Coturnix japonica: one gene and its partners. The protein of the gene in region 1 interacts with the protein of each later gene in a biochemical or structural test. Links are inferred from orthologs where the notes say so. Each region holds a gene or a part of one and is shown on either strand. Other genes may lie near its edges.

Evidence for each region. The genes of interacting proteins can lie anywhere in the genome.
Region 2: the proteins of UBE2I (region 1) and small ubiquitin-related modifier 3 form a complex in vitro, tested with the Homo sapiens proteins (2 studies listed by BioGRID, with this or other methods). The link is inferred for Coturnix japonica from reciprocal best matches to the Homo sapiens genes UBE2I and SUMO3.
Region 3: of the proteins of UBE2I (region 1) and NOP58, one has a biochemical effect on the other in vitro, tested with the Homo sapiens proteins (2 studies listed by BioGRID). The link is inferred for Coturnix japonica from reciprocal best matches to the Homo sapiens genes UBE2I and NOP58.

The regions. Positions count from the first base shown.
Region 1 is NC_029529.1:7,278,757-7,282,871, forward strand, and holds the start of UBE2I (SUMO-conjugating enzyme UBC9), read left to right. Parts: upstream 1-1,315; 5' UTR 1,316-1,431; intron 1,432-1,624; exon of another isoform or gene 1,625-1,758; intron 1,759-2,152; exon of another isoform or gene 2,153-2,430; intron 2,431-4,115. UniProt on the Homo sapiens protein: Accepts the ubiquitin-like proteins SUMO1, SUMO2, SUMO3, SUMO4 and SUMO1P1/SUMO5 from the UBLE1A-UBLE1B E1 complex and catalyzes their covalent attachment to other proteins with the help of an E3 ligase such as RANBP2, CBX4 and ZNF451.
Region 2 is NC_029524.1:3,984,174-3,988,030, forward strand, and holds small ubiquitin-related modifier 3, read left to right. Parts: upstream 1-1,212; 5' UTR 1,213-1,334; coding exon 1,335-1,355; intron 1,356-1,481; coding exon 1,482-1,610; intron 1,611-2,185; coding exon 2,186-2,257; intron 2,258-2,680; coding exon 2,681-2,743; 3' UTR 2,744-3,357; downstream 3,358-3,857. Other genes in the region: PTTG1IP (pituitary tumor-transforming gene 1 protein-interacting protein), read left to right, coding at 294-337; UBE2G2 (ubiquitin-conjugating enzyme E2 G2), read left to right, coding at 3,582-3,624. UniProt on the Homo sapiens protein: Ubiquitin-like protein which can be covalently attached to target lysines either as a monomer or as a lysine-linked polymer. Does not seem to be involved in protein degradation and may function as an antagonist of ubiquitin in the degradation process.
Region 3 is NC_029522.1:10,249,820-10,254,028, reverse strand, and holds the start of NOP58 (nucleolar protein 58), read right to left. Parts: upstream 2,801-4,209; 5' UTR 2,668-2,800; coding exon 2,623-2,667; intron 1-2,622. UniProt on the Homo sapiens protein: Required for the biogenesis of box C/D snoRNAs such as U3, U8 and U14 snoRNAs. Part of the small subunit (SSU) processome, first precursor of the small eukaryotic ribosomal subunit.

The DNA of each region.
Region 1 (4,115 bases):
ATACAGTCACTGATCATTATAGCAGGAAATTGTCCCTTCTGGGATGGGTATATAACCAAGAAGAGTGTCAAGTTTTAATTAATGACTTTGTGTATATTTTCTTTCATTCACGGAGCTAACAAATCAACCTGCCTAACCTCACTGATTACTTTTTGAATCCAGTATGTAGATTTTTAATAGAAATACTTATATCTGAAAAATGAATCTGAAAGTGACACTTTGTAATAAGAAATGTAAATAAGCCAATTAATGAATTCTGGAATCTTAGGGGGGTACACCATTAAGAATGAGGTGAATTTCATCTTAATAGTTTTAATCAGTTTTAAATGCAAAGCATGTTTAAAGTTTTCCTTACATCTTCCATTAGTGATGGTCAGGATGCTTTCTGTACACAGCTCTTCTCCATCTCTCCTCCAGCATTTACTAGTTAAAAGGAATACAGTAACTAATGCCATAAGTATTTGTGCGTTAGGGTGAGAGAAGAAAGTTGGGCAGGAGGGCCCACAGAAAGAGAGACATCCTATTTTGCATCATTGTGCTGTGCAGTGGGGTAAAGCATGTATAGGAAAAGGAGATATTCATTCCAAGGGAAGACAATTCCTCTTGAATGAGAGAAGCTCAATGAAGATGGGGTGAGAATACGACAAGTGTTTTGAGGATCTGGTTTGTTTCTATTTTCTGAGACCAACCTGGGGAAGGTTCCTCCATCGTTTCTGTGGAGTTAAACCGAGATTAAATTGAAATGTGAGCGTGGATTGTTTAGAGAATAAATAAATCAAACCAGGGAAGGAGCTGCCGGAGCACTGGGCTCACCCTCCTGGTTAAACACGGGAGTGGCTGCACATTAGAACCCTCATTTAAGCTGCCTTTAAACCCTCAGCCCATGAAGGCTCCGCACCCATCCCTGCATCGCCGCCATAGTGTCTTTATCAGTAGAATTTGATAATTCCTGCCCTTGGTTTTTCACACAGAGCTTTGGCCTGATGACACCTTGCTTTGTGCTGTGTTATGGGTACTGACAGGAGATCATTGTTGTCCCATCAATATATAAGTGCTTATTTATGGCAATGCCTAATGATGGCAGAATGGAGGGGAAGATAAGCCATGGTTGGTATTAAGGCGCTATATACGGTGCAGTTCAATGGACAGACCATGGCCGGATGCTGCTCAGAGGTTTAAAGACCCGACATGTTTCGTTACATTAAACGTGAATGTTCCAAACAAACCCACAGCGACACGAACCCCCTGCAGGCGGGATGGCCCCGCCCCCTCCTGGCTCTGCCCAATGACAGCTCAGGGTCGACTCCCCATCCTCCAATCAGAGACGCGGGTGGTGGCGGTGGGCGGGTCCTATCGAGCTGAGGCGCAGTGGCCGGCCCCGCCGTGTTCTCGGGCCGGTTGTCGGGCACGGCTGACTCCACAGCGCCTGAGGTAAAAGTTCCGCCCGTGTTTCCGTGGCGGCTCGTCGTTGTGCCGGGCCGTGCTCGGATCCGCTCCGCCTCGTGTCGTTCCCCGCTCAGGCGCTGTCGGGCCGCCCGCAGGTCCTGCCGAACCGCGCCTGCGCAGCGGGACGGACGGGTCGGGCCGAGGGACACACGGCGATAAAGCGAACGGCACCGAGAGAGGGAGGGGGAGAGAGGAAGGGAGAGGGAGGGAAACTCCGGAGCAGAGACAAAGGGGGGGAGCGGAGCCGGGAACATCCGGGTCATTCGCCGCTGCCTCAATCCGGGACACACGCGGGTGCTGCGGCCGAGCACGGTGAGGCCTGGCCGGGAGCGGGGCCTGGGGCGGCGGGGCCCGGCCCGGTGCGGCCCGGCCCGGTGCGGCCTGGTCCGGTGCCTCGCGTTGCGGCGGTTCGCGGGCACGGCGGTTCCCGGCGGTTCCCGGTCGGCGCGGCCGGGCCTGACGGCGTCTGGCTGCCCAACTCGGGACGGCTCCGCTCTGTCCCTGCGCCGCGGCCCGCTCAGCTCTCGGCCGCCTACGGGGCGCACTCGGCGGCTGAGCTGCGTGCGCCGACCGGCTGCGCCCAGCGCTCCCCGCCCCGCCAATAGCTCGCCCGGCACACACAGGCCTCGGCCGCTCCGCGGGGCTCGCGAGACCAACGGCGGCGGCGGCGGCCGGGACAGCGCTGCGCCGCTCCGTGCTGGGCCGCCCCGCGGTTCCTTTTGTTGTTCTCGGAACTACCGTGCGGGTCGGTGCCGCCTGAGCCGCTTATTGCGCTGCAGACTTTGTGCGGCAGTTTTAGGCGCTGCGATTTGGTTCCACCTCAACCATTGAGTTTCTCTGACTGGAAAGGAAAGGAAAGGAAAGGAAAGGAAAGGAAAGGAAAGGAAAGGAAAGGAAAGGAAAGGAAAGGAAAGGAAAGGAAAGCTGCCCCGGCAAACAGCGCAGGTTTAACGATCCTTACAGCGTCTGCTTCTGATTCGTAATGTAATCGGTCTTAACGATTTGATTCATGTATTGATTTTTGAATGAATGGAGAATGAAGGAGCACGTTGTGTATATACAGATTTGTAATGGGGCAGGGATGCAGGCGCGGTGATCACTGTGCTATGGGAGCACTGTGCTGTGCTGGGGCTGCTGGATGGATGGCACAGCAGTGTGGGCTGGGTTTGGTCCCAGTGCAGGTAGTGCCAGCAACAGAGCTGAGCTACCAGCACTCTGGGAAGTTTCTAGTGAGTTGGTAGTGATAAATGGGCCGTTGGTACCTCCTGGTGCTGGTGTGTGCAGGAGGGAATAGTGCTAAATTGAATGGGAGGACAGAGATGGATTTTCTCCAGCTTAGAACTTGGTGTTCTTTCTAATGATGGACCTCTCCCATACAGTAAGTTGGGACTTAATTGTGTTCATTCAGTCACCTTCTCAGGTGAGGGAAGGAAAGTCAATGGGATGCAATATCTGAAACAAGTGTAAAAAAAAAATCCATAAACCAAGTGTTTAAAATCTGTTCCGTGGTGGCCGTTGTTCACCCTCCTGGAGTCACATGGGAGAACTGTGCAACTTTGAGATCAAAAACCTGTAGGAAAACTGCACCTCCCTCCCCCCAAAAAAATCTGGATTTCTGGTAAGGTGAAAATGAAGTTTGGATAGGGTTGGTTTGCTGGCTCAGTGCAGTCAGTCCATCTGCTGCACTCTGCCTGAAGATGATAATTGCAGTTATTTAAGTCCTGCCTGAGACATTGGAACCGGAGTCTTGCAGAAGAGGGAGAGCAAATACAGGCATTAGTTCAAGCTCAGACGGGGCTGAGCTGTTCTGTCCCAGTTGTGTTCAACATTACTAAATAATGAGGTGAAGTTTGACTATTGCTTGACATAATGAAAAACAAAAGTTCAAACCAAGAGCCACTAAACTTCATGTAGTTGTGGTAAGTTAAAAGTATCAGCTAATGATCAGCTAATGATTACTAATACATAAAACAGTGTAATAGAACTGATTTCTTCAAGGTGTTTAGGAGTCTCACTCTGGTTAGATGTGCCAGAAGTGACTGCTGTTAAATCCCTGGCAAGTATCAGTGTTTATCGGATTTCCATTACGTGGCCTTAATATTCAGGGGACTGGAATGGCAAATATTAAGTAGACTAAATATACGTACCTGGCAGCTAATTTGAGAATACAAATGCTTATCTCTTGGTCAGGGCTATCTTGATATCTCCTTGTTAATCATGATTGTAAAGTGTTCGGATTTGGTCTCCAGGTGCTAAAAGCACAGCTGAAATTCTGTCACATGTTCGTTGGTTAATTAAAATCTCTAGGAGGGGTGTGAGCTCATGGAATAAAATTCCTCCCCTTATAGTTTTGTTCTGGTTTCTCTTGGGATGCTCTGCTTCTCTTGCTGGACAGTTGGCTGAAAGCTGAAGTGTTATCTATGGTTCTGGTGTGAAGTCCTGCAAGTGTTCTTACATAACCAGGACACTGGTGTATGTATTGGGAACATGAGAATGAGTGCAGGCTTCTTTTGTGTGTGTTTACTGCACAGAGCATTAATGGTGCCTTCTAAAAAGCTTTAACTCTAGTTACGTTCTAGCAGGGATTGTACTATTGAAATGATGGACTGTGGATGTGCAGGCTGATCTGACTTAGGGAAAAAGAAGGGAGAGGAGAGAAGGAAGAAGGG
Region 2 (3,857 bases), on another chromosome or scaffold:
GTGTTCCTCAGTGTGACCATCCCAGTTCCCTCAGCTGCTCCCCATCACACTTTATGCCCCAGACCCCTCAGCTCTGCTGGACACACATCCTCCTTGTAGTGAAGGGTCCAGGACTGAACACAGAGCTTGATGTATATCCCATGAGGGGTAGGAGTTGAGGTGGTGTGGGCGCATCCTTCCATGAGGACAATAGTACAATAGTCTCTAGAGCAGGATGGTGAGCAGAGGATGGTTAGTGAAAGAATTGTCACCCAGAGCAATGAGTGACTCTCAGTGTCTCTCTTTTCTTCCAGGCCTGTTCAAGGAGGAGAACCCTTATGCAAAATTTGAGAACTAGCCTCTCTGGATCTGCCCCACCTGGTGAATGGCGTCCTCCTTCTAGACCCACCTCACTCTGGGTTGCTTTCTAGGAGCCCCCTATGGTGCCACATGCTGCCACAAGCCCTGCTCAGTGACTCCCCCCATTCCCCACTCCAGTTCTCAGCTTGCCCTGGGCTTTTGCTGCAGAGGCTGTGCCAGGATCAGCTGCAGTGCCAGGATCAGCTGCAGTGCCTGGCCGGGCTGGAACCTCACTCTGTGCCTGGAAACTTGGTGGCAATAACACTGGGGCTTCACACTCCTCCTTTACTCACCTGGGGGTGGCAGCACAGCACAATACAACACGGTGCCTGGCTGAGGTGGCCTAGTGTGTCTTCCTTCTGCCTTATGCAAAGCTGGGTGCGTGCATTGTGATGCTCATGTCCCTGTGTGCAGCAGTGGCTCAGGGGTGCCCTGTCTGCCTGCAGCTCTATGCATACACTCACACACCAGCACCAGTTTCTCGCTGCCTTGGGCCTTTGGGGGCAGGCCCTAAATGCACGCTTCACTTGCAACTAATCCAGGGACCCTCCACAGCCCCCTCTACCTCTGTGCCTTATATTGATCATCTCCTGGGCTCGGTGCCTGTTACTGATTGCAATACGGTAGGGTTCTGATGCGATGTGGTCAAGATGTATTAAATCGATTTGATTACTATCCCAACGTGAGCGCTTTATTCTGAAGGGCAGGAGCCGGTGCTGCGCTCGGTGCAGTTCTCTGGCCGCCCGCTGGGGGGCGCTATAGCCGTACTGGGCCGTATCCAGTGACGCACTTTCTAGAGCCGCCGCGCCGCGCGCTGTCGCTCACCCTCCTCCTTCCCACGTGATCAGCCGTGCGGCCAATCAGAACGCGGGATTGCTGGCGCGGGGTGGCGGGGGCGCGGCTCGGCGCGCGCTCTCGCGGTCGGTGGTTGTTGGCGGCGGGAGCAGCGCGGGACGGGCCCGAACCGAACCCAACCCCGGGCCCGACCCTCCGCCATGTCGGAGGAGAAGCCCAAGGTGAGCAGGGCTGGGGCTCTGCGGGCACGGGGCGGGCCGTAGGATGAGCTATGGGGGGATAAGGGGGGGAGGGTCGGGCCTGGCACTGCGATGATCGCCGCTCTCGTCCGGTTTGTCCCCCCTCAGGAAGGAGTGAAGACAGAGAACGACCACATCAACCTGAAGGTGGCCGGGCAGGACGGCTCCGTCGTGCAGTTCAAGATCAAGCGGCACACGCCTCTCAGCAAGCTGATGAAGGCCTACTGCGAGCGGCAGGTGTGTGTACAACGGGGCCACAGCCAGCACTGAGTGCGGGCAGCGCTGTGTGTGTGTGCTGCTGCACGTGGAGCCCTTCCTCTGCTTCCACACTCCTAAAGCTCTGCCCCATCCCTGCACCTGACCTTACCTGGACCTGAGCAAGGCCTTTAACATGGTCCCCCATCACATCCTCATCTCCAAATTGGAGGGAGGTGGATTTGATGGGTGGACAACTAGATGGATAAGCAATTGGTTGAAAGGCCGCAGACAGAGGGTGGTGGTCAATGGCTCTATGTCCAGGTGGAGGCCGGTAACGAGCGGCATCCCCCAGGGATCTGTCCTGAGACCGGTTTTCTTTAACATCTCTATCAATGACATCTACGATGGAATGGAGTGCGCCCTCACTGCCACAGCATCCATCCGGCAGCTCTGCACCCTCCTGTACAGCAACAGAGGCATGAAGTTCCCCATCTGCTTATATTACATGTTAATTTAGTTAATATGCGTCCCGGCACTAAATCAGTCAGTGCTTTGTTTGGATTCAGACGTGTCTCGGTTTGGTTCCTCACATGTGTCACTCTGTATATTGGCAGGGTTTGTCCATGAGGCAGATCAGATTCAGATTCGACGGGCAGCCGATTAATGAAGCAGACACACCTGCACAGGTATGAAAGGTGCTTTTAGTGCAGATCATTTTGTGCTTCTTCTTCAGTCTCTTCCATATGTGTTTTATGCTGGCTGGGGTGGGAGATGTGCATGAACAGATGGTGCCAAACACACTGGCACCTGTGTGCTGCTGTGGGCAGGACCTGGAGGGAGTGCTGAGCTCTTCAGCTCTGTCCCATGTCTGGATACAGCCAGGACTAAAGCTGGGTGCTGTAGCTGCTGCCAGCTCAGTCAGCGCTCAGAATTTAAGGGTTTTCTTGCATTGACGAGGCCTGAGGTGAGGAACAGAAGAAACACATCTGAGTTGGTTGCTTTTAGATGGCTGGGTTCTGAGTCTGCTTTGAAATAGAGATCTCAAAACCTGTGTAACTCTATTATAAGTTTATGGTTGTGAACTCGTGTTCTCCGTATCACCCTCACAGCTGGAGATGGAAGACGAAGACACTATCGATGTGTTCCAGCAGCAGACGGGCGGGCTGTGCTAAGACATGGCATCCTTTGGAGCACAGAGGCTCCTCATCGCACCTCGCTCTCATCTGTCCTTGGATTTGCTATCAAATAGTGAACAAATGAACACGCCGATCACACGGGATTCTCGGAAACCTTAGAGGACATTTACCCAAAATCGCTTGTTGTCTTTGACGTACTGCGTGTGCAAGTCGACACAGTATCTGCAGGGATTCATCTCTTATCTTTAATTGGGCCCAGTTGATTTTTGAGTTCCGATTCAGTGCTACACGTTGTCTGTCTGTCTGCTGTTTCCTGGTTTATTCCCTTTCAAACCTGTGGCCTAAATAACCCTGTCCGTGTTTGAGGACATGGAGTGCATTCCTGGCTGTCAGCCCTGCCCCTCTGTTCCATCCTACCCTTGTAAATAAGTCTATTTTCATGCCGATCTCAAGCTTAATGAGTCTCATTGTTTTAAAAGAGGAGGAAGAAGACGCTGATTGAAGTCGCTGGGAAACGTGAAGCCCACGACACGAGGTCTGTACGTGCGAGACGCAATGCTCCGTATAGACAGTTTGGAAGATTGCAGATTGACATGTGCTTTGTCATGATTTGATAAAGTTGTCTGAAATATACTTTTTTAATGCACAAACGAGAAGTGTCCTGAATGGAAGGGGGGGGGTGGGGTGAGCAGAGCAGCTGGGCTGAGAGGGCCCGCCCACAACTCGCTGGTGCTACTGCGCATGCGCTGGGAGGACTCAGCCCCCCCCCCCCCCCCTTTACCATAGAGGCGGAGTGCTAGCGCGCCCCCTATCTACTTCCTCCCCTCCAGCCCGCCCGGAAGCGGCGCGGGGCCGGGGCGCTGCGGGCCGCGCTATGGCGGGTACGGCGTTAAAGAGGCTGATGGCCGAGTATAAACGTGAGTAGCGGGGCGGGGCTGGGGACTATGGGGACGGCTGGGTGTGGGGCTGAGCGTGTTTGGGGTGGGGGTGGGGGGGCTCGGCCCAGAGCACAGGAGCTGAGCGGAGGCCTCGTGGCAGCTGCAGCTCATAGGGAGCAGATGGGCAGCGCTGAGCTCAGCTCGGTGTGACAGCGACAGGGCCCGAGGGAACGGCATGGAGCTGTGCTGGGGAGGGGGCACCGACAGGGTGT
Region 3 (4,209 bases), on another chromosome or scaffold:
CCTTACAATGTTAAGTTCTTCACACCTCAGTAAAAATGTTGGATTTAAGTTGTGACAAGCCCCAGCACAACTACAATTCAACTTGGTGCCCTGCAAAAACAGCTCTTGCGCCCTTGCAGATTTTTAAACCTAGGCCAAAGGAAGCTCTTTCTTTTTGTTTAAATTAAATTATTGCTGAGCAAATAAACATGATGACTCATTTCCCACAGGGCTCTGGGGCACAAGACAACCTTTGGGCACATCTCCCCAGCCTGTTGATTCTTTGCTTCGCAGTGGATTCATCTTTGATACAGACAGGATTAGTTCTTCCTGCCCTGAAGCTCAGAGAATTCTGGCTCTATAAACAGATATCGAGAAAAACACAAGTATACAAACTGATAAATCAAGGTTGCTAATATATAGAAACTATGGCTGCCTATGGAAATTTTGTGTCTCAGCGGACACTAAGATATAATGGACTTCCAAGAACCAGAACACTGTTATTCTATTTACCCCCAAGTCATACACACTCTTCACTCCTCTGACAGGAGCAATACCAACAGGAGACCACTGAAGGGCTACCCAGCTTGTAGAGAAAGATGATCCTGTTTACCAAAGCATAATGGCAGAGCACAGTTATTCTGCCTACAGACAGCTTGTGAGCCCTGCTGGAAAGGAAAGTGGGTGACAACTGTTTCTAAGAGTTCTGAAATGTAAATTCTCTTCAGTTCTCAAGGAACTGAAGAACAAACTAAATTGTGACCACATTAAGACACATTAAGACACTGTCTTAAAAAAAGCATAACACCATGGTGAATACTTTGATACAGAACTAACATACAGATGTAGTGATCACATAAATTTGCAGCTACTGTATGGAGGATAGAAAAGCTCTCCCAGTCCTGCAGACACACAACATGCGCAGGTCTTCCTGGCAGCTGCAAACAGAACAAGTGTGGAAAACCAAAACATGTGTCCAAACACATATCTTAATGAAATGTTACTAATGCTCAGTTCCAGCAGACAGCTTCCAGTTCTCTTGCATCCAACCCAGATATCAAATGCAGTTTGCTCTCCCAGAGTATGCTTAATGCCTGCAAGGGAACGCTGCTGCTTGCTGCCTGGTGCCCCCTGCTGCCTGGCACAGACACCACAGCCGGGCCCAGCACGCAGCTGCTGACATCAGCAGCACTTCTGTAGAGGAGTCTCTTCAGTTCAGTGCCTCTTCTCATGCCTCTATTTATATACCAACTTTTTTCATATGCCAACCTCAGTTTCAGTGGTTTAAATACGGGCTGTTTACAGCCCCTCTTGACTCCTGCACAATTACAGAATAGAACCATCGAATCTCCTGAGTTGGAAGGAACCCCAAAGAATCACTGAATTCAACTCCTAGCTCCATGAAGGGTCAGAAGTCAAACCCACTTCCCGCACACACAGCCCAAACGCATCTCGAGGTCCAGCACTCAGGACCGTACCCACTGCGCTGGGCCCATTCCATGCCCACCACTCTCTGGTGCACAACCTTTCCCTGCACCCCAGCTGCCCCTCCCCTGGCACAGCTCCTCAGTGTCACAGGGAGCACAGCTCAGCACCGCCCCTTAGAGGAGCTGCAGCCACCACGAGCCTCCCCTCAGCTCCTCCGCTCTGAGCAACCCAAGGGACCTCAGCCACAACTCACACACGTTGCCCTCAGTGCCCTCCCCGTTTCTGCTGCCTTTTTATGGCTGCTCTTCAATAGCTTCATATCTTTCTTACACTGCGGTGCCCAAACCTGCACGCAGTGCTTGAAGTGAGGTTACACAGCCAGGTGCAGAGCGGCACAAACCCCACATCCCACCACCTGGGTGAGCTGGGCTCGACACACAGCACTGCTATACGAAAACACCGTCAAAGAATGACCCAGGTTGGAAGGGACCTCAAGGATCATGTAGTTCCAGCCCCCCTGCCTGGCAGGGCCACCAAACATACACATTTACTAGATCAGGTTGCCCAGGGCCCCGTCCAACCTGGCCTTGAACACCTCCAAGGACGGGGCATCCACAACCTCCCTGGGCAGCCTGTTCCAGGGCCTAACCACTCTCCTAGTAAAGAACTTCCCCCTAACATCCAACCTAAATCCTCCCTCTTTTAACTTAAAACCATTTCCCCGTATCCTGCTACTGTCAGCCCTTTCCAAGAGTTTACTCCCCTCCTGGGATTAAGCTCCCTTCAGGTATTGAAAGGCTGCAATGAGGTCACCCCGCAACCTTCTCTTCTCCAGGCTGAACAAACCCAACTCCCTCAGCCTGTCCTCATAGGGGAACGATATAGTGAAGAATCTGGCTCACTCCTTCTTATACGAGAACATAAAATTTCTCTTAATAAAAGACCAGCTGTACATCAGCAGCACTACGATGGGCCACTGCCCAGGGCTCCAGAGAGACACCCCCCGTTTCCCCCATACAACCTGCACACAAAGCAGCCATTCACTCCATTGGGTACCGGCCTCTGTGCCCAGCTCCCGCCCGGTTCCGTGGGTCAGAACCCACAGGACTCGTAACAGACACGGCCCCTCACCAGGCCGTACAGGCCGCATCCACAGCGCCCACCAAACCCCAACCGGGAGCGGGGCGCGGCCTCCTCACCACCTCCACACCTCACCTTGAAGATGGCGTAGCCGGCAGCGGTCTCAAACAGCACCAACATGGCGGCAGCCAAGAAGGGCCGGGGACAACCGGGAGCGGCGGCAGCAGCACGGCCACGTGCGCGGACCCACGGCGCCCACCCCGCCCATGAACTAGAGTGGGCGCAGCGGAAGTGACCTCACCGGAAGGGGAAATGCTGGGCAGCCAGTTCCGCGCGCTCCCGCAGGCCACGTGGCGCAGTGAGCGCGGCCGGGGCTGCCGGCTGTGACACTGTGTGCCCTGGGCACGGCCGGTAACGGGGCGGTTCCCTAAAGGTTCCACCGCGCTGTGCCTCGTAGCTGTGCTCTACGAGCTCCTGTTTGCGTATAGCGGCCTTATGGGCTGTGACCGTGTGCTGAGCGCAGCCCCCATTTTGTTGGGCTCGCTCCGTGCGCTGCCCGCCGGCTGGGGGCGGTGCTGGGCCGCGGTTGGTGGCCACGAGGCAGCGCCGTGTGTCCGGCCTGCAGCGTGTGGGGCTGCGGGGGAAGCAGCGCTGCGATAACGGGGTTATTCGCGTTATGGCCGTGGGAGTTGGTTGTTTTCGGTGTTATAATGAGCATTTAATAGCGTCACTGAACAAGCAGTGCTCAGTGCAGAAGGTCAGGCAGGTTCACACACCTACTTTCAAAGCCCTGTTTCAGTGCTGACAGCCCAGGCTGGAGCTTAGAGTGTTATGTTCATCCTTTTTGCTCCCGAGCAGCTGTGCCAGCACTAGGAGCCAACTGGCTGTTCAGGAGCCTGTGTTAGGAGCCAAGTGGCTGTATCTGATGTTCAAGAGCCTGTGTTTGGTTGGTGAAAGAGGTGTTATGCAGAGGAGATGGGCCACAGATTGTGAGGGAATGCTGCGGCCCTTCCCTGCTCAGCTGCATCCATGGCCTCGAGTAGAGCCGCACCTCAGCCTGAGCTAATGGAAGGGACTCCAAGTGACTGAGATTAGTTGCAGGGAGAAAATCAGAGCAGGAGCAATACTTCCCATAATAGCCTCGCTTAATTCCCAGGTGGTTGCAGCAGCGATGGCTTTGAGTGTTCTGATAAGAGCCTTACGTGTGTGTGCTCCGTTTTTCTTTAAAGCAGCATTAATGTGGTTTAACTGCAAATATATGGGATATAGGGTTTATGCAGTTAAAGGAGAGAAGCCTGGGCTTGGTCTTTGCGTTCCTTTCTCGCGGGTCGGTCGGATCAGCTCCGCAGCGCTAACGCTCCTCGTGCCCCGGGGCTGTGACTTCCTTAACGAGGCGGAGCGGCGAGTCGGCGTGTTGTGCGACCGTGCACATGTCAGAGCCGCGCCTTTGTTCTCTATGGGGGAAGGCAGCTGAGTTCTGGCTCGAGCGAGCGTGCGCTTTAACTGCAAACTGCGTAGGAAACGTTGTTAAGAATCACACACAGGCTTTATGCTAGAGCCACACCGGCACATGGCTACAGCTGTGTCTGTCTGTGAGTACCAACAGCGAATGGGGTGAGGTCTGTCCCGTTGTTGGTACCGTGCGTTGTTTTGAAGCCGACTGGTTGGGGGTTGGGATCGTTACCGCACTGCCGCGCTGCCCCCAGCGGCCATGCCGCCCTG